Linked DNA regions of Arabidopsis thaliana. The protein of the gene in region 1 purifies or fractionates together with the protein of each later gene. This does not show direct contact. Each region holds a gene or a part of one and is shown on either strand. Other genes may lie near its edges.

The links.
Region 2: the proteins of GRF2 (region 1) and WRKY6 purify together in Arabidopsis thaliana (affinity purification with mass spectrometry, with the first as the bait; one study listed by BioGRID). This does not show direct contact.
Region 3: the proteins of GRF2 (region 1) and GLDP1 purify together in Arabidopsis thaliana (affinity purification with mass spectrometry, with the first as the bait; one study listed by BioGRID). This does not show direct contact.
Region 4: the proteins of GRF2 (region 1) and AT3G28200 purify together in Arabidopsis thaliana (affinity purification with mass spectrometry, with the first as the bait; one study listed by BioGRID). This does not show direct contact.

The regions. Positions count from the first base shown.
Region 1 is NC_003070.9:29,459,485-29,463,919, forward strand, and holds GRF2 (general regulatory factor 2), read left to right. Parts: upstream 1-1,906; 5' UTR 1,907-2,398; coding exon 2,399-2,875; intron 2,876-3,052; coding exon 3,053-3,175; intron 3,176-3,287; coding exon 3,288-3,404; intron 3,405-3,505; coding exon 3,506-3,568; 3' UTR 3,569-3,905; downstream 3,906-4,435. UniProt on the Arabidopsis thaliana protein: Is associated with a DNA binding complex that binds to the G box, a well-characterized cis-acting DNA regulatory element found in plant genes.
Region 2 is NC_003070.9:23,016,060-23,021,196, reverse strand, and holds WRKY6 (WRKY family transcription factor), read left to right. Parts: upstream 1-1,702; 5' UTR 1,703-2,041; coding exon 2,042-2,407; intron 2,408-2,612; coding exon 2,613-2,714; intron 2,715-2,808; coding exon 2,809-2,955; intron 2,956-3,044; coding exon 3,045-3,359; intron 3,360-3,457; coding exon 3,458-3,571; intron 3,572-3,692; coding exon 3,693-4,310; 3' UTR 4,311-4,628; downstream 4,629-5,137.
Region 3 is NC_003075.7:15,926,120-15,933,182, reverse strand, and holds GLDP1 (glycine decarboxylase P-protein 1), read left to right. Parts: upstream 1-1,760; 5' UTR 1,761-2,032; coding exon 2,033-3,247; intron 3,248-3,366; coding exon 3,367-3,612; intron 3,613-3,700; coding exon 3,701-3,778; intron 3,779-3,864; coding exon 3,865-3,965; intron 3,966-4,055; coding exon 4,056-4,251; intron 4,252-4,331; coding exon 4,332-4,457; intron 4,458-4,555; coding exon 4,556-4,855; intron 4,856-4,935; coding exon 4,936-5,088; intron 5,089-5,179; coding exon 5,180-5,368; intron 5,369-5,454; coding exon 5,455-5,532; intron 5,533-5,613; coding exon 5,614-5,739; intron 5,740-5,826; coding exon 5,827-5,925; intron 5,926-6,022; coding exon 6,023-6,140; intron 6,141-6,242; coding exon 6,243-6,331; 3' UTR 6,332-6,531; downstream 6,532-7,063. Other genes in the region: ZIP9 (ZIP metal ion transporter family), read left to right, coding at 125-580; CBL10 (calcineurin B-like protein 10), read right to left, coding at 6,785-6,839, 6,930-7,042. UniProt on the Arabidopsis thaliana protein: The glycine decarboxylase (GDC) or glycine cleavage system catalyzes the degradation of glycine.
Region 4 is NC_003074.8:10,515,934-10,520,021, forward strand, and holds AT3G28200 (Peroxidase superfamily protein), read left to right. Parts: upstream 1-2,043; 5' UTR 2,044-2,148; coding exon 2,149-3,099; 3' UTR 3,100-3,583; downstream 3,584-4,088.

The DNA.
Region 1 (4,435 bases):
CTACTACATATGTGGTTGATTTCGACCTCGTATAAATTGTTTTTAATACTTATGGTAAATTTAAAGAATTCGGAATCTTAGTGACAAAGGAAATATTTTCGTTATCTTCTGAAATAATAGGATAAAACTGGATTATTGTCTAATGTCAACGAACGAAGATAACACTGAGGAAAAGTGTCTTCGTCAAATCGTTAACGGTTCATCTATCGAAATTCGACCTTATTTAATCGCATTACTCCAAATAGTAAAGATTGGTAAAAAAAATTTATCAACTTAAGGACTAAACGAAACTAAGTACAGAAAACATTTTAGTAGTAACAAAGTTCATGGTTTTATTCTTTAGAGGGATTTGATTGGCTTCCATAAGAGAATGAACTAATGATTGTTTCGTTGGAAGAAGTTTAAAGTAACTTGATCGTTGGTATTTGAGAAGTATTTTATGTATAATCCTAAAGACTTCAACAAAAATAAATAAAATATTATCCTAAAGTTAATTGTCAGAAACTTATAATAAAATTGTAAGATCTTTTGTTGTCGACAGTCGACGACAAATAAGATAATGCGTTTGTTGTTATTATCATAACTTATACCGTAAGTTATCAATATGAATCATATGATTTACAAGATAGACTCATCATAGTCATAGATCACATCGAGACGGAAGTTTTTTTAAGTTAAGAATGAAAAAGAAGGGAAGATAATTAAAATTATTGGCAGGGGAGCCTCGGAGATATCCCACATATGCTCAATTGTTGGGCTTCCAAACCTCTTATTTTATGTTGACTTGAGCATGCACCAACATGCATTAATATAAGTGTCATCGTATAAGTTATTAATGTCACGTCTCATCCGTCAAAAACACACAATTGTCAATCGTCCATATCTCTGCTAGGTATGATCAAACCCGACCACTCGTAAATCCATGTTATGAACTCAGATAATGTTATCTCTGTTAATATTTCTTGAATGTCCCAAAATTTAAGGGGGATGGCAATTAGGGAATGAACACTTCGATATGGTTCAAACCTTACGTTTCGCATCGATTCATGCTCTCGTCCCTATCTCCCCCACACCCAACACGTCGGAGCAAATCATCTGGTGTATTAACACTTTCATGAAGATTGGTCTCTATACAAGTAGAGAATCGTATATAAATAGTCATAGAGATAAGAAAGCTAATTAGATAAGGATCATCATTATCTAAATGACTAATTATAATTAGGAGTTATCTCAATACTTATCAAAAACTTTTGATCTACTTGCGTACGCTATATAGCTAGATTAACCACAAATCTTTTTCGAACATATCCGAATTTTCGCCTTTTTTATATGACGGTTTTTTCTAACGTATGATCTTTAGATATATCATGACTATACGTTCAATGAATACATGTTATTGTATAGTTAATATTTATGCTAGAAAAGTATAGAGTAATCTTATTATTTCATTGAATGTAAAACATAATCATCAAGAAAACTAATGCAAATAAAACAAATTAACAAAAAGGAGTAAGATAGGAAAAAACATAATCATGGATTAGGATAACTGGATAAGCATTGGATTAAGCAAAACGGAAAAAGGAAAAACAAATATTGTAGTATTTTAATAAATTACTTCAGTACAAATACAACCACATAATTAAGAACATAATGATTTTAAAAAGCTCGTAAGAATCGCCTACGTACTTAGTTGAATGTTTGAAGATTTGAAGAATAGACAACCTCCGAAGTATTTAAATTTTGAAAGAAGAAAAAAAAAACCGTTTGAGCAATCACAAAAATGTGAAAGCTGAGTTGGAGAAGAAAGGGTCCATTGGATCCCCTGACATGCTCACAACACACATGTGTCCCTCTGAGCTGTCTCCATTTTTGTTAACCCAACTTGCTTCCATTATTGTATCAATCTCACAACTCCAATTTCTTTTCACAATTAGTAAATAACTATATTAACAAATCTACAAAAAACTAGCCCCTATTTTAACCACTAGACCCAAAATTTTATAATTCCTTAAGGTGCCTATACTAATAGTAGCAAAATCACATTACCAATTATTTTGTTAATTGACCAAATTTTATCCAATAATCACATTACCAATTTTTCTAAAAGTGTATTTATGTTGTTCTTAATTTGAGGTGAAAAAAAATCCCCCTTTAAAAAGCAGGACCGGCCACAAATCCAACGGCCCAGATTAGATCTTGGTTCCAAATTTCACTCTTTTCCTCTAAAACGCATTTATCACTTTCCCTCATTAAACACAAAAACTCATTCATCGTCCTCTCTCGCTTGACCTACAACACCCGATTCTCTAATCGAAACCGTTTCTCTCTTTTTGATCAGATCTCAGATCTTTCCCTCTTTGATTCTTCTTCCTTAGATCGATTCTCTCTAGAAACAACAATGGCGTCTGGGCGTGAAGAGTTCGTATACATGGCTAAGCTCGCGGAGCAAGCGGAGAGGTACGAAGAGATGGTAGAGTTTATGGAGAAAGTCTCCGCCGCCGTTGATGGCGATGAACTCACCGTAGAAGAGCGAAATCTTCTCTCCGTCGCTTATAAGAATGTGATTGGTGCTCGCCGTGCCTCGTGGCGTATCATTTCATCGATCGAGCAGAAGGAAGAGAGCCGTGGTAACGATGACCACGTCACGGCGATCCGTGAATATAGGTCTAAGATCGAGACGGAACTCTCCGGAATCTGCGACGGAATCCTTAAGTTGCTTGACTCTAGACTCATCCCTGCCGCTGCTTCTGGTGATTCCAAGGTCTTTTACCTTAAGATGAAGGGAGATTATCACAGGTACTTGGCTGAGTTTAAGACTGGTCAAGAGAGGAAAGACGCCGCCGAACATACACTCGCCGCTTACAAATCTGCTCAGGTTTGATTCCGAATCTCAGATCTAGTTTATTTGAGTCTAGTGTGTGATCCGTGGATGGTGGTTTGTTAGATTTCCAGTATAATGAGACTTAAATTAGGGATTTGTGTATTCTCGAATAAGATCTTGAGATTGTCTAGGTTTTGAGCTTATAGTCTCTATGTGTAATTATCTGTGCAGGATATTGCTAATGCAGAGCTTGCTCCAACACACCCAATTCGTCTTGGTCTTGCATTGAACTTCTCTGTGTTCTATTACGAGATCCTCAATTCTCCTGATCGTGCCTGTAACCTCGCCAAACAGGTATTTCAATCTACTCATCTTTCAATTATGATAATGTGATTGGACTTGGTTTAACACTTGACCTCATTGGACATAAATTTGACTGGTTTTGTTGTTGTTATGTATCGTCAAGGCCTTTGATGAGGCGATTGCAGAGTTGGACACTCTTGGTGAAGAGTCATACAAAGACAGTACCTTGATCATGCAGCTTCTTCGTGACAATCTCACTCTCTGGACATCTGATATGCAGGTTTGTTCATATAATCCCCGCACCTTTGTTCTTTCTTTGTTTCTGTTATGGATGATTCGCATTCCATTGACTAAATTCTGTAACGGTGGGGATTATATTAGGATGATGCTGCGGATGAGATCAAGGAAGCAGCAGCGCCAAAACCGACCGAGGAACAGCAGTGATCTTTTGAGTGAAACTGCTAGTTTTCTTCTAGGGTTTGGAATTTCTTCTCTTTCTCGTCCATATGTTTTTCTTAATCCATCTAAGAGGTCGCTCTTGCCATTTCGCTCATCTTCAAAAGCTTATTCATTCATCATATTTGTGGCAAGTCTGAACCATCAATCATCTTTTTATCTCTTTTTAATTTATTTTCTCTTTTCTTATTTCTTTGTTGTTATCGATTTCAATGTCTGTGTAATCGAAACTTGCTTTCTTTTCTCATCAATTTGAAGATCATAAAGTCTCTTGTCTCTTATCTTGTTGCGTAGATTGATTGTTTATCAATTTTTAATTTTAAAAGCGGACTAGTTTATTGGACTGCGTAAAGCCAATTACTTTACCTGGTCTGAAATCAATCATCAATTTGATTATATAAAAATAAAAATACATTTCAAAAGAACTATTTAAGCAATAGACACTCGTTAGTCATTTGACACTTTACAGGTTTAAATTAATGATCTCGTCAGAGTTTGAAGTTTCAACTTAAAATGAAAGCATCAGAGCATAAAATTCAACCAAAGGAACAGTGAAGTGTTTGGTATAGCTAATCAACCAATCAAAAATTTAATACCCCATCGAATAGACGATGAAGAAAAAACTCTTGTATGCAATCTGATTTACAAAGAGATGAAATCATAATGGCAAACTTATAAAAATTGAATAGAGTTGCAAAAGTGTATTCCTTTCTTTTTCCTAGTCTTCTTTGTTTCTAACATGAACAAACCATGAAAACAAAAGAAAGTAAAAAAAAAAACGGATTTAAGTAATCTTTGAGTTAATTAACAAAAAAAAAAACAAATGATCCCACCACTCTCCACTAATGATGTACA
Region 2 (5,137 bases), 6.4 Mb from region 1:
TTTGGTTATCCTTCAACAAATTTAACAAAAAAAATAAAAAAATTGCATTTACATTATGTAGTAGTCTAATAAAATATAATTATAGATAATAGAAAAGTCAATAGTTCTAATATGATAACAACAAAAGAAAATGTATACTTTAAAATCTGAAAATTACCATTCTTTTATTTGTTATCCCAAACATAAGCCATGTACTATAATTAGGTTATTGTAATTTATTATAAAAAAAAAAGAAAGAATATTCCTGTACTTCATGATTTCTTTTTGTAACGAAGTACATAAAATTTTCAAATCACATGTGGTAACCATGATTTAACAAAAAATTAAGTCGGTGACAAGCAACGAAACATAAATAATCGACTTTGTCAAGATATGTATAAAAATCGACTTTGTATTTAGAGAACAAGGTCTTCATTATTTTTCTTTTTTAACATTAGAGAAAGAGAACTAAAGGTCTACTTCAAGAAAACAAGAAACTAGGTGCTTAGCTTTAATAATATATCAAAGAAAAATGGGTCAAAAAATAAATTATTACATGAGTGGGGCCCGGCCGGCCACGGAAGTAAGACCTAACGACCAGCGCAACCGGTCACCAGTCAAGACTATTAGAAGCCGGGCCGTCAAAATCGTTGACTCGGTTTTTGTTTCCAACTGTTTTTGTATTTTGTTAAAAATAAATTAATACTAATAAATAAGCTGAAAAAAAAGAAAAGAGAAAAGGTATAATCACGTGGAACGCGCCGCAGTAAACGGAGCGGTGGATCAAACTTTTCGTCCGTTTGATCAAACAGAAGAGAACTAGTCAATGCTCTTTCTTCATATCACAATTTAATAGTCTCAAGACGATTACGCCACATAACCATTTTCTCGTGATTTCGACATCAAAATTTAATAAAAGGAACTGATTGATTGGTCATCATGTTACAAGTGTCAAATGAGCTAATCCGTTTTACAGTGGCATAGTTTACGATCAATTTACAAATTTTTGGTTTTATAACATACTTGTAGTTAAAACTATTTATAAGCTATTTATAGTGAGTTAGCTTATAAAACCCTATTCTTTTATCTAAAATTATGTTTTGACTCGTTTCATGATAAAATTTTATCCTTTTCATCGGAATAAAAAACTTTATTATTTATTTGGCAAAATAATTGGTGTAAAAATTATGTATATGTTAATAACAAAAAATATTAATCTGATTCATAATCTTAAAAAAGAAAAATTTCTTGAAATAAACTTTAGACATTGTAAATAAAAAAACATTATTTTTATATAATGGGATGTTTATATGTAATTTTTTATAAAAAAATAAAAGTTGTTTACTAGTAATCCGATTGGCTTTAACTATCGTCGCCAAAAGAATAATGTAGAACTGACTTTGAGGTAAAACTAAAAGAAATTTGTAAGATAATAGTCACATTAAATGCTAAAATTAATACATACTGATATATCGTATAAAATTTATGAAAACTACACCTTAACCTGAATCATACACTGTAATAAAAAAAACAAATTATATATAAACCCTAAAAACTAATCATAAATCCCAAACGGTGTACTCTCTATTAGCTTTGAAAGGATTGCCCAATTGTTTGTTAAAAATTTCTAATAATAGTACAATGTTTTGTTTCATTTTTCCTTTTCGTCAACCTGTTACCCAATAGCAAATGAAGTTTTTATGTGTGTGTGTGTGTGTGAATTTCCATGAAAATGAAACGGGCTTAGAATCCCGGTGTATTATGGGTCGGGTCGTAACCGGGCAATGACGCAGGATCTGACGTAAAACTCCCAAGAATTTTTTTAAAAAGTCTCCGGAAAATAAAATCAAAGTTCATTAACTTAAAAAGAAAAAACAAAATCGGTCCACGTCCCAAACCCTTTTTATAGGAGAGTCTTATGTTCTGGCAGAAGACTTCACAGACTCTTTCTTAATCTCTCTCTCTTTCAACCAAACCCCTAAACAAAAAAAAAATACATTTTCTGATCTCTCTAAAAATCTTTCTCCTTCGTTAATCTCGTGATCTCTTTCTTTTTCTATATATGGACAGAGGATGGTCTGGTCTCACTCTTGATTCATCTTCTCTTGATCTTTTAAACCCTAATCGTATTTCTCATAAGAATCACCGACGTTTCTCAAATCCTTTGGCGATGTCTAGAATTGACGAAGAAGATGATCAGAAGACGAGAATATCAACCAACGGTAGTGAATTTAGGTTTCCGGTGAGTCTCTCAGGTATTCGTGATCGTGAAGATGAAGATTTTTCATCTGGCGTTGCTGGAGATAATGACCGTGAAGTTCCCGGCGAAGTGGATTTCTTCTCCGACAAGAAATCTAGGGTTTGTCGTGAAGACGACGAAGGATTTCGTGTGAAGAAGGAAGAACAAGATGATCGAACGGACGTAAATGTAAGTACGACTTTTCGATAAATCATATGAAATACAATTTTCTTACTAATGGTTTGTATTAGTGTGGACGTGTCATAATTTGGTTTACATTTGAAATATCAAATAAAAATACCAAATTTTGTTTCATTTTTTTTTTTTTGATAAAGGTATCATATTTTGTTTTCTTACAAAATGATTTCTAAATTTGAATTTTAATTTGTTATAGACCGGTTTGAATCTTCGAACAACTGGTAATACAAAGAGTGATGAGTCAATGATCGATGATGGAGAATCTTCCGAAATGGAAGATAAGCGTGCGAAAAATGAGGTAAGTTTAGTTTGATTTTACATTAGTAATATTTAATAGATGAATAATTTGAACCGGTTTGATTAATATTTCGATTTTTTTTTGTTTATCACAGTTGGTGAAATTACAAGATGAGTTGAAGAAAATGACAATGGATAATCAAAAGCTTAGAGAATTGCTTACACAAGTTAGCAACAGTTACACTTCACTTCAGATGCATCTTGTTTCACTAATGCAGCAACAGCAACAACAGAACAATAAGGTAAATAATTATTAGATTGATCAACCACAAGTAAATGGAATTTACCCTACATGAATAGGCAATTAATTTTGGTGAACCTATATGATTAGGTAATAGAAGCTGCTGAGAAGCCTGAGGAGACGATAGTACCAAGGCAATTTATTGATTTAGGCCCTACGAGAGCAGTAGGTGAGGCCGAGGATGTGTCAAATTCTTCATCCGAAGATAGAACTCGTTCGGGGGGTTCTTCTGCAGCCGAGAGGCGTAGTAACGGGAAGAGACTTGGGCGTGAAGAAAGCCCCGAAACTGAGTCCAACAAAATTCAGAAGGTGAATTCTACTACCCCGACGACATTTGATCAAACCGCTGAAGCTACGATGAGGAAAGCCCGTGTCTCCGTTCGTGCCCGATCGGAAGCTCCGATGGTAAGTTGATTTATTAGATACTAATACTTATAAGACTATATAAAAAATAAACTATGTGCTTTAGAGATTAATTATCTTTGTACTTTATGTTTCTATAGATAAGCGATGGATGTCAATGGAGAAAATATGGCCAGAAGATGGCCAAAGGGAATCCTTGTCCGCGGGCATATTACCGCTGCACGATGGCCACGGGCTGTCCCGTTCGCAAACAAGTAAGATTTAAAAGATTTAACCATTGGACTAAAAGATTCTTGTTGTAAAAACATTAGAGATTTCAATGTATATATGTTTGCGTGATTGGCTAATACGTTCGGTCCGAAATGATATTTATAGGTTCAACGTTGCGCGGAAGACAGATCAATTCTGATTACAACCTACGAGGGAAACCATAACCATCCGTTGCCGCCAGCCGCGGTAGCCATGGCTTCTACCACCACGGCGGCGGCTAACATGTTGCTATCCGGGTCAATGTCTAGTCACGACGGGATGATGAACCCTACAAATTTACTAGCTAGGGCTGTTCTTCCTTGCTCCACAAGCATGGCAACAATCTCAGCCTCCGCGCCGTTTCCAACCGTCACATTAGACCTCACCCACTCACCTCCGCCTCCTAATGGTTCCAATCCTTCCTCTTCCGCGGCTACCAACAACAACCACAACTCACTGATGCAGCGGCCGCAACAACAACAACAGCAAATGACGAACTTACCTCCGGGAATGCTACCTCATGTAATAGGCCAGGCATTGTATAACCAATCCAAGTTCTCGGGGCTGCAGTTCTCTGGTGGCTCTCCCTCGACGGCAGCGTTTTCTCAGTCACACGCGGTGGCTGATACAATAACGGCACTCACAGCTGACCCGAATTTCACGGCGGCTCTTGCAGCCGTTATTTCTTCTATGATCAATGGTACGAACCACCACGACGGCGAAGGAAACAACAAAAATCAATAGAAAAATATTACATTTTTTTTTTGGGTATCTACATTTTTTTTCCAACTGGGTTATAGGAAACAGAGAGTTTATTTCATTGATTCACATTTGTTCTGTTTCGTACCAAAATCCCAGTAAATATACAAAAGCAAACTATACTCAAGTTCATATTCGTAAACACTATAAATAGTTACGTAACTTAATTAGCATTGCCTTTAAAGCTTTAATATTTGATATTTCTTTTGAGTGGTATATTAAATACTTCACATGTGAGCGCCGATACAAACCTAATAGTTTGGCCGTACCTTCAATAAGATAATGAGATATCATCAAATAAGTGTCCTACATAATGACACTTAATTATTGAACTTTTAATAACCTTTTTATATATATTTAACAATTGCAACGGTCAATAAATGCTACCATAACAATTTGACACGTAATTGCTGTCTAATTAAGTCACCTAAAAATCTGTACACATTAATATTTGCTAACAAATAGAGACAACTTCCTAGAAACTACGAGTTTAATGGCATGAAAAATTTGAAGATAAATAAACTGAAATATGTGACCAAAAATTTAGGCAACAATATAACGAAAAGTTTAGCTTTGTCAATTTCTTCATTTTTATGAAGTAAAAATAGGATTTTCTAGAAAATTATTAAAATTTCGATACGTAATTATCTGTGTACTGTGGAGTAATAATATTGTAAATAGATGGAATAATATCTCAAGCTTTGGAAGGAAGCGATACGCAAAAGTACGTTGTTGACTTTCCGTGCAACTCTAGTTGACGTGGGGGTCATGATTTGCCAATAATGCATTTTTTTAATACAGGTAAGTCTTTA
Region 3 (7,063 bases), on another chromosome or scaffold:
GTGTGTGTGTGTTAATATATTTTGACGTTATGTGACTTAGTCAAACCAATCCGTTTATATAATTTCCTTGTATAGTGTCGATGCACAAAATCAATTGATGATACCCTTATATTTTTGTATTCAGATACTTGAAATGGGAATAGTGTCACATTCAATAATCATAGGAATATCGCTTGGAGTATCACATAGCCCATGCACCATACGTCCTCTCCTTCTCGCTCTTTCCTTCCACCAATTCTTCGAAGGTTTTGCCCTCGGTGGCTGCGTCGCAGAGGCCAGACTAACCCCGCGTGGATCTGCCATGATGGCTTTCTTCTTCGCCATCACTACTCCGATCGGTGTAGCGGTGGGAACGGCCATTGCCTCATCTTACAACTCTTATAGCGTTGCAGCATTGGTGGCTGAAGGAGTGCTCGATTCTCTCTCTGCGGGGATACTTGTGTACATGGCGCTTGTGGATTTGATCGCTGCGGATTTCTTGAGCAAGAAGATGAGTGTTGATTTCAGAGTTCAAGTTGTTTCTTATTGCTTTTTGTTTCTTGGAGCTGGGATGATGTCTGCTCTTGCAATTTGGGCTTGATCACTTTTCATTATTACTATTTGTTTATGAAAGTAATAAATTTAGGCATGCCTTTTTCTTTTTTCTTTTGGACAGAATTATTATAGGTATGCCTATCACTCTATTTGTTTCAAAATAATGTTTGTAATCAATTCTATTAGATATTCACTCTTTATCAATCATGTTATATATTTTTGTAGCTGGTAAACAAATAATTAATTTTTGAACAAAAAACAAAAACAAATACAATTAGTTTTTACAAGCAAGTATGCAACTGAAATCCAAAGATTTTCTTGACGCCTTTTCGAGCATATTCTAATCCTTCATTTTGATTTAGCTCAAGAAACGCCATAATAGAACCATATATATGAACTAAGTGTTTTTAAAAAGAGTAGGTCATGACTCATGAGTAATCTTTTCCACGATCTTTAAGATATATTATTCTTGGAAGGTCGAAAACTATAATATTTCATTTTCTGTCGAATATATATATATATGGATGACGATGGTTCCCATGCATGATGAAGAAAAAGACGAACCCTATATTTATCTGTTTAATTAAAATTTTCTTTGTGGAGATAAACTCTCTGTGAAACGCATTCCGCCACCTAATTTATCATATATTTTCATGTGAACCAAAATAATTAAAATTTGTTTGCCATATATATATTTATTTGTTGTTATCTTTCTGAGTGATAAAGGTGACAAACATTTTTGTCCACTGATACCCAATCTCTTCCACTTCAGTTCCCTTCCTTTCAAATTTTATCTCGTGCTTTTACAGCATATCCCACAATTCCTGTAAATTATCTCAAGGATTTGGTGCATAAATTCTATTTTTTCGTACTTTTTTGTTGGATATGTAAATCAGAACCAAAAAAACTTAACATTGATTAAACTTTACAATTTACGTATGTCCCATTAGAGGGGAACTACAGTTTTTGTAGGAAAATAAGAAATTTGCGAACTAAAGACACTAAATAATCCTACTTTTAAAATCACAATAGTTAGTACTCAATAAAAAATATTGTATATTGTTGTGAAAAAATGTAAATAGTTTGGAGAAACTGCTACTAATAAACAAATAATTAAGAGATGTCGGAGATCCAATTTAATCATAAAAATAAAATGATTAGCACAATATTGCACTACTGATTTAGATGCGATACACGTGGAATCTGCAACTTTTCACCAACCACATCCGAGCCTACACCACGAAATTTGAGGATTTTTATTTATTTCCCAAAAATTTCTCTGTATTTATAAACTAACTATTTCTTGGGACGTGAATATACACATTTTATATTCAACGGTCCGTGAGTGTATATTGTATATACTCTCTCTCAGATTCCCTCCTTGTAGCTAGCTTCTACCTCCTCCTTTCATTCATGGCGAAAAACTAAAAAAGACATCCATCTTTCTCAAAACATCTCTCTTACTCTCTTCGTTTTCTGACTGCAACCTTTTTTCCCAATGGAGCGCGCAAGGAGACTTGCTTACAGAGGAATCGTCAAACGTCTCGTTAACGACACAAAACGACACCGTAACGCTGAAACACCTCACCTTGTTCCTCACGCTCCGGCGAGGTATGTCTCTTCCCTTTCCCCTTTCATCTCCACCCCTCGATCTGTCAACCACACGGCGGCTTTCGGGAGGCACCAGCAGACGCGTTCCATCTCCGTCGATGCTGTTAAACCCAGCGATACTTTCCCTCGTCGTCACAACTCTGCAACACCAGACGAACAAACCCACATGGCTAAATTCTGTGGCTTTGACCATATCGATTCACTCATCGATGCTACGGTGCCCAAATCGATTCGATTAGATTCCATGAAGTTCTCCAAATTCGACGCTGGTTTAACCGAGAGCCAAATGATTCAACACATGGTTGATTTAGCTTCCAAGAACAAGGTTTTCAAATCCTTCATCGGGATGGGTTACTACAACACTCATGTCCCTACTGTCATTCTCCGTAACATCATGGAGAATCCAGCTTGGTACACTCAATACACTCCTTATCAAGCTGAGATCTCTCAAGGTCGTCTCGAATCGCTCCTCAATTTCCAGACCGTGATCACAGATCTCACGGGTCTTCCTATGTCCAATGCGTCGCTTCTGGATGAAGGCACTGCTGCTGCGGAGGCAATGGCCATGTGTAACAACATTCTTAAGGGTAAAAAGAAGACCTTTGTCATTGCTAGTAACTGTCACCCTCAGACTATTGATGTTTGTAAGACTAGAGCTGATGGGTTTGATTTGAAAGTTGTCACCTCTGATCTTAAGGATATAGATTACAGCTCTGGTGATGTTTGTGGGGTTCTTGTTCAGTATCCTGGTACTGAAGGTGAAGTCTTGGATTATGCTGAGTTTGTTAAGAATGCTCATGCTAATGGTGTTAAGGTTGTGATGGCTACGGATTTGCTGGCTTTGACTGTGTTGAAACCTCCTGGAGAATTTGGGGCGGATATTGTTGTTGGCTCTGCTCAAAGGTTTGGTGTTCCGATGGGTTATGGTGGTCCTCATGCTGCGTTCTTGGCTACTTCACAAGAGTATAAGAGAATGATGCCTGGGAGGATTATTGGTATTAGTGTTGATTCTTCAGGAAAGCAAGCTCTGCGTATGGCTATGCAGACTAGAGAACAGCATATTAGGAGGGACAAAGCCACTAGCAACATCTGTACTGCTCAAGTAATTACTTCTTAGTATCTGATTACTCATTTTTCACTTTTCACTATTAGTTCGTTCAGATAACTAGATGATATGTTGATTCATGTTGATGAGTACTTCATCTTTTCATTTTCCTGCAGGCGTTGCTTGCCAACATGGCTGCCATGTATGCTGTTTACCATGGACCTGCAGGTCTAAAATCTATTGCCCAGCGTGTCCATGGTCTCGCTGGTATATTTTCCTTAGGGTTGAACAAGCTTGGGGTTGCAGAAGTTCAAGAACTTCCTTTCTTTGACACTGTTAAAATTAAGTGTTCGGATGCACATGCAATTGCTGATGCAGCTTCCAAAAGTGAAATTAATCTGCGTGTTGTGGACTCAACCACTGTGAGTCTCCTTTGCTTTGGCCTTTCAAGGTTTTTACTCTCATAGCATCATACAGATTTGAATATTTGGATATGATTACTTAATTCAGATTACTGCTTCCTTTGACGAAACAACCACCTTGGATGATGTCGATAAACTTTTCAAAGTTTTTGCTTCTGGCAAGCCTGTGAGTGTTGTTCATACCTCTTTTTGTTATTGATATATCATTTCTAGGATCCTTGCATGAAATTTGACTATCTCAATTCGCTTCAGGTTCCATTTACGGCTGAATCTCTAGCACCCGAGGTTCAGAATTCCATTCCTTCTAGCCTAACAAGAGAGAGTCCTTATCTTACCCACCCAATCTTCAACATGTATTATTCTGTTCTTTGAATCTTGAGTGGCTTATTACTTGTGGATTGGCAGTATCTCATTTTTGTTTTCCATTTTGATAATATGATTAGGTACCACACAGAGCATGAGTTGCTTAGGTACATCCACAAGTTACAGTCAAAGGATCTATCACTGTGCCACAGCATGATTCCGTTGGGATCTTGTACGATGAAACTAAATGCAACAACTGAAATGATGCCAGTCACATGGCCAAGTTTCACTGACATTCACCCTTTTGCTCCTGTTGAACAAGCACAAGGTTATCAGGTTAGTGACTTTCTTGATTCATCTGAGGTCTGATTTAGAAAGTTGAACAATGAACTGATATCTTGTCCACATGTATGTAGGAAATGTTCGAAAATTTGGGTGACCTCTTGTGTACGATCACTGGGTTTGACTCTTTCTCGTTGCAACCTAATGCTGGTGCTGCTGGTGAGTATGCCGGGCTTATGGTTATCCGCGCATATCACATGGTAACATCTTTTATCCTAAATTTGGATCTTATTCTACCTAACAATCTTCTATTCAATTGTATTAAGCTGAAAAGTGAATGAATGAATGCATTTTTCAGTCAAGAGGAGATCATCACCGTAATGTGTGTATCATACCTGTCTCTGCACACGGTACAAACCCTGCAAGTGCTGCTATGTGCGGGATGAAAATTATTACAGTTGGAACTGATGCTAAGGGAAACATTAACATTGAGGAGGTGAGAAAAGCTGCAGAAGCCAACAAAGACAACTTAGCTGCTCTTATGGTTACATACCCTTCAACTCATGGAGTCTATGAAGAGGGCATCGACGAGATTTGCAACATAATACACGAAAATGGAGGTCAAGTGTACATGGATGGTGCCAACATGAATGCACAGGTGAAATATCTTACTAAAACAGAACACAGAGATCTTGAATTTTCTCTAATTTGTAAGAGCATGGTGTTGGGTACGTGTAGGTTGGTTTGACGAGCCCTGGTTTTATTGGAGCGGATGTGTGCCATCTCAATCTCCACAAGACCTTCTGTATTCCTCATGGAGGTGGTGGTCCTGGTATGGGTCCCATTGGTGTGAAGAATCATTTGGCACCATTTCTTCCTTCTCACCCCGTGGTTAGTCTTTTATCCTTCATCACTTTTATGTTTCTTGGTGATTGATGATTAATTCCTTAATTTTTTGTTTCTTCCATTTCCATGTATACAGATACCGACTGGTGGTATCCCACAACCCGAGAAGACAGCACCTTTGGGTGCAATATCCGCTGCACCATGGGGATCTGCGCTTATCTTGCCTATATCTTATACTTACATTGCCATGATGGGATCTGGTGGGCTCACTGATGCCTCTAAGATTGCAATTTTGAATGCCAATTACATGGCAAAGCGCCTAGAGGTAGTAGAACATCTTTGTCTTCTATTTACCTATTCATCTTTTGAGAATGAAAGGAGTCTAATTTTCCTCTTGATTTGTTTTTACAGAAACACTACCCAGTTCTTTTCCGTGGTGTTAACGGAACAGTAGCACACGAATTCATCATAGACTTGAGAGGCTTCAAGGTATGAAAATGTTGTGAACTGAAATTAAAGTAGTTGTTTTGGGTATGCATATCACTGACCGATTCAAATATGAATTTGTAGAACACTGCTGGAATAGAACCAGAGGATGTGGCGAAACGGCTAATGGACTATGGATTCCATGGACCCACAATGTCTTGGCCTGTCCCTGGAACTCTTATGATTGAGCCAACCGAGAGTGAAAGCAAGGTAAATATGGATATATGCAGATCTCTCATTGACTCTTTCTTCTCTCAGTGTATCAACTTGATGAAACTAAATAATATTCGTTTGCAGGCGGAGCTAGACAGGTTCTGCGATGCTCTCATTTCAATCAGGGAAGAAATTGCACAGATTGAAAAAGGAAATGCAGATGTCCAGAACAACGTTCTCAAGGTAATTAGGAAAACAAAGACTTATCATAATTATATCCAATAATAATATTGTTCGGAGAAGTTGAGATTCATACGTTGGTGGTTGTTTGTTTTCTCAGGGAGCTCCACATCCCCCATCGTTGCTAATGGCAGACACATGGAAAAAGCCGTATTCTCGAGAGTATGCTGCTTTCCCTGCGCCTTGGCTCCGCTCCTCCAAGTTCTGGCCCACCACAGGTATTAGACCATCCAAGATATAGATTGCACATTTGGTTTTCGATTCAGTTTATTCTGGTTTCGGAATTCTGATATGTGACAAATGATTGAAATGTGGAACAGGGCGTGTGGACAATGTATATGGAGACAGGAAACTGGTGTGCACTCTCCTCCCAGAGGAAGAACAAGTCGCAGCTGCAGTGTCTGCTTGATTACTGCTCTGTCCCATTGTGTTGTGTCCCTTTCTCTCACCACGCACTCTTCTCTTTCACATTCTGTCCATAGTGTTCTCATTATACGCTTTCTGTCTCTTACTCTATTATTTCATTCGAATACATCTTCTATAAATTATATATTCCACAATTGACCGAAAACAAAACACAAACTTTGGTAGAATCAAGACTTAAATCAACTATACTGCCATAGACGCAAGATGAAAAGAAAAATGCTTCATTACTTTCAATGGAACAATTACAGTAAAGTCATCAAAACAAAGCAAAGTGCTTGACAATTTTACTTACAGCTAATAATCATCAACTACGTTGGCTTAAAATAAAATAAGGAAAACCTTCTTTCCTCGTTCTGCTCTTGCGCTATGACAATCTCACTCGAATTACAGGACCAAGCAGAAAAAAGATGACCGGTGTTGCATGGACAGTTGTGCCTCAGTCTTCAACCTCAGTGTTGAATATAAAACTTGGGAATGCTGTCGTCACATCCCTTCAAATTCAAATACAGATATGGTTGATGATAAAGTAAAGGAAATCCTAAATGGAAGGGCTAATCTAAAAAAGAGAGAGGATTTGGTACTTTAGGTAAGGAAGAGTCATATTCTTCAACAAGCTAGGATGTTTATGCACATAGACATTCCATTCATCCTTACTAATTTTACCGTCTTTGTCAGAATCTGCATCAGCAAATGTCTAGCAAAAACAAAGTAGAGA
Region 4 (4,088 bases), on another chromosome or scaffold:
CACATAGATATTTGGACAGCCATTATAGCCCAAAAACTTTTTCTTAAACTTAGTGCTTAGTATATTATGATTTAGGGGACAATTCCGTTATTATTTCTGCATAGGTAAAGTAATCATATATTTGTTTAAACTACCGGTACAATTTAAACTTTAAAATAATGTAAAATATGTAGTTTTTTTCAAGGCCAAAACAAACGTTTCTTTTTGTAATTGTTCAACACAAGTTGATTCACAATCGAAATAATTTATGTGCGAAAACTCAGTTAATAGTTGTGAAATATTACTTCAAAAAACACTGGTAAATTGGTAATGCGTGTCTTCTGAAATTATTATGATGCCACTTGATTAATATTAGATTATTCCTAAGTGAGACATTTCTCTTTGATATTGGTGACATAATTTTATCTAGGCTTCAATATATATATATATATGGTCAAATTCATTCAATATATTTCTTTCAATGAAAGTTGTCGTTTCTATGTTTATAAATTTATTTTATGTATATATGATTATTCTTTACTTATAGTTTATTTACGTTCAACTTACTCTTTTATATTTGTGTCGTTATTTATGTATATTCAAGTAAACAAAGAATTATACAAAAGGTTGTCTTTTTGACACATTTTAACTCATAGCAAAATATATTTCAAAAGTAGAAACATATGTTCATGTTCAATCTCCACGGATCGAATATGGGTAAAGTCGGAAATCGGCATAGTACGTGTAAGACTGTAGAGTCGAAAAAAAAACAGAGAAAGTGAGACTTTTCATGTCATATAACATGTAAATGATTTTTTTTATAAAACCCATCCATATCGTATATGCTGGATTACCGAATCGCCACGTAAAATTAAATTAATCAAACAAAAATGAAAAATCCATGAGACTTTGTGGAGATTGCTTCACTGTCTTCTCCGCGTGGATGAGAGATCAATAACACATACAAAAAAAGAGTTTAGGCTGCATGTGAACTACGTAATGTCCGTCAATTTCTCTGTTTCGCCAATTTTTGCTATTAACTTAATTTATTTACACCAATAATTGAACTAAACACATGCATTATCATTTATGTAATATCCCTATATGCACACATAGCAAATTCTGTTTTTAGTAACTTCCTTTCCTAAACCAATACGGCAATACCGCTTATTAGTTTTGCCTTTACCCAAACATATGAATGTTTTCTTTACCTCAATCAAATTTCACCTAAATCTCTATATAGAATGTTGTACTAGGTTTTTAGTTTATAAATAATAGGCATTTTGATGATCTTACATTTCTGATAAATAATTACACTGGCCTCTCTCTTTTGTTTTTGAAGTAAAAAATATTTTGGAAAATTACCATTTGATCTTCAAATTAGTAATTAGCGAACGCATTTTCGCCAAATAACTATACACTATTTTATAAAATCATACAATTTAACGTTTGTCATCAAAGTTATTTACTTAAATATGACCAAAATTTTGTTATCTAACTAACTACATCTTATAAATAATGGAAATTTCTGCTAAACCGAATTAAAAATAATCTAAATTTTGGATTAGTTTTTCATTTTCTGGTTATCCAACTATTTTTGTAAAATTTCTTAAATATAACCCATTACAAGACACTTTTCTTTCTGGTTTGGCTCGAAATTTCACCGATTCAAATCTAAATCTTTAGTACGTAAACCGGTCTACATTAAATAAACCAATCCATATACTGTAATTAAAGTTACACAAGTAAACCGGATCCAACCTAAGACCATCTCTATTGGGGGTATCTCATAAGAGTTTCTCATAATTAAAAAAATAAAAATAATGAAAATGAAGGAAAGAGAGTGTAGAAAGTTTCTCACTTGAAAAACTCTGAGATACTCTTTACAACCCATTGTGACAATTCTCATCTTACTATTGGTTTAATTTTTTAACAAAAATAATTTTTTTAATCAAATAATCAAATTATAATATAATATTAAATTTTTTTTGTTCGAAAAATTTTGTGGGTTTATCATGGATGGAAATGCCCTATGCTTTGACCTTACACACATCCCCGTGATTGGTGTGGACCGTACATCGGCGCGTGAACTCCACTGTCCCTCCCACTTACTTCATCTCCTTCCATATAATCCCAAACCCCCCTCTCTCTCTCTCTCTCTTCTCAACAATGGCTTCACTCAAATCTCTCTTCCTCCTCTTCCTCTTCTTCTTCACAGCTCAATCTCGCTTAACCACAAACTTCTACTCAAAAACATGCCCAAGATTCCTCGACATCATCCGTGACACAATCACAAACAAACAAATCACTAATCCCACCACCGCAGCCGCCGTTATCCGTCTCTTCTTCCACGACTGTTTCCCTAACGGCTGCGACGCCTCCGTCCTCATCTCCTCCACCGCCTTCAACACCGCAGAACGTGACTCTTCCATCAACCTCTCACTCCCCGGAGACGGTTTCGACGTCATTGTCCGAGCCAAAACAGCTCTCGAACTCGCTTGTCCCAACACAGTTTCTTGCTCAGACATCATCTCCGTCGCAACACGTGATCTTCTAATCACCGTCGGTGGTCCTTACTACGACGTTTTCCTCGGCCGTCGTGATTCAAGAACGTCGAAATCTTCTCTTTTAACCGATCTTCTTCCTCTTCCTTCCACACCAATCTCTAAAATCATTCAACAGTTTGAATCAAAAGGTTTCACTGTTCAAGAAATGGTTGCTCTTAGTGGAGCACATTCTATAGGGTTTTCACATTGTAAAGAGTTTGTGGGTCGGGTGGGTCGGAATAATACCGGGTATAACCCGAGATTCGCAGTGGCTTTGAAGAAAGCTTGTGCTAATTACCCTAAAGATCCGACTATCTCTGTGTTTAATGATATTATGACTCCTAATAAGTTTGATAATATGTATTATCAGAATCTTAAAAAGGGTCTTGGGTTACTTGAATCGGATCATGGATTATATTCTGACCCTAGAACCAGATATTTTGTTGATCTTTATGCTAAGAATCAAGATCTGTTTTTCAAAGATTTTGCTAAAGCTATGCAGAAGTTGAGTCTTTTTGGTATACAGACTGGTAGAAGAGGAGAGATCCGAAGAAGGTGCGATGCTATTAATTGAGTTTATGTTTTTAATTTATTTAATTTTTGGGTTATATTGGATTGTGAATCTTCTGAGTTATTACACTCATATGTTTTTGTGTAATGTAAAAGATATATGGTTGATTGTTCTAATTAAGAGATTGGTTTTGGTACAAAGATTGTTAACCTTTGTGCAGAGATTGAATTTGATGATTATGTAAAGGAAATGTTCTGCATTTCAGCTCTAAAATTTGAGTCCGGTTCAGTGAGAGTAAACCAAACTGAAGTAGTTGTAGTTTGAGTTTGGTAATCATTCATTAGTGGCTGATTGATAATTAATATGTTGGTTGAGATAAGAGATGTGATTTAATGGATACGGAGTTGGTAGCTCAACGAGTGAACTTTTGGAATCTGGAGCATCTAGGGGGTTTAGAGTTTGAGCACCACCAACAATAAAGAGAGATTTACATTACAATGGAAACCTTCTTTCTTCGATCTAATTAACTATATTTGTGGTTTCTTGTTGGAAAAGATTATAGTTTTTGGCCCATATACAAAAATTAGGCCTTGGTTTCTGGTAAAGTTGTAAATTTCTAGTGTTTTATTTATATCTTGTGACAGAATGTGGTATGCTATTTGTGTGCATTTGAAAAATGGATCAGTTACAAGTAGTCACACAATCAAGCCCAAACCTAGTTATTAGTCCTCCTTCATCTCGGCTCAGACACAAGTCCAGTTTTGTCGGTTCTTAGAAAGAGTCTTAAGAGCACCCTCAATGGTAGTTGTTTAATAGAAAGAAACTCTAGAAGCTCTTAGAGCACCATTATTGATAATTGCTTAGGTTAATTCTTAGAAAACTTTGGTTATGAATTTAATGTTTTTAATCATATATTTGTTAAGAGAGTCTCTTATATAAGAGACAAATTGAAGTTTTCTTAGTTTTTGTTTCAGAAATTTTAAAATTAATTCATAAAAAGTTCTAAGAACTAAGTTAAGAGTAATCTAAGACACTAGCAATAATGATGCTCT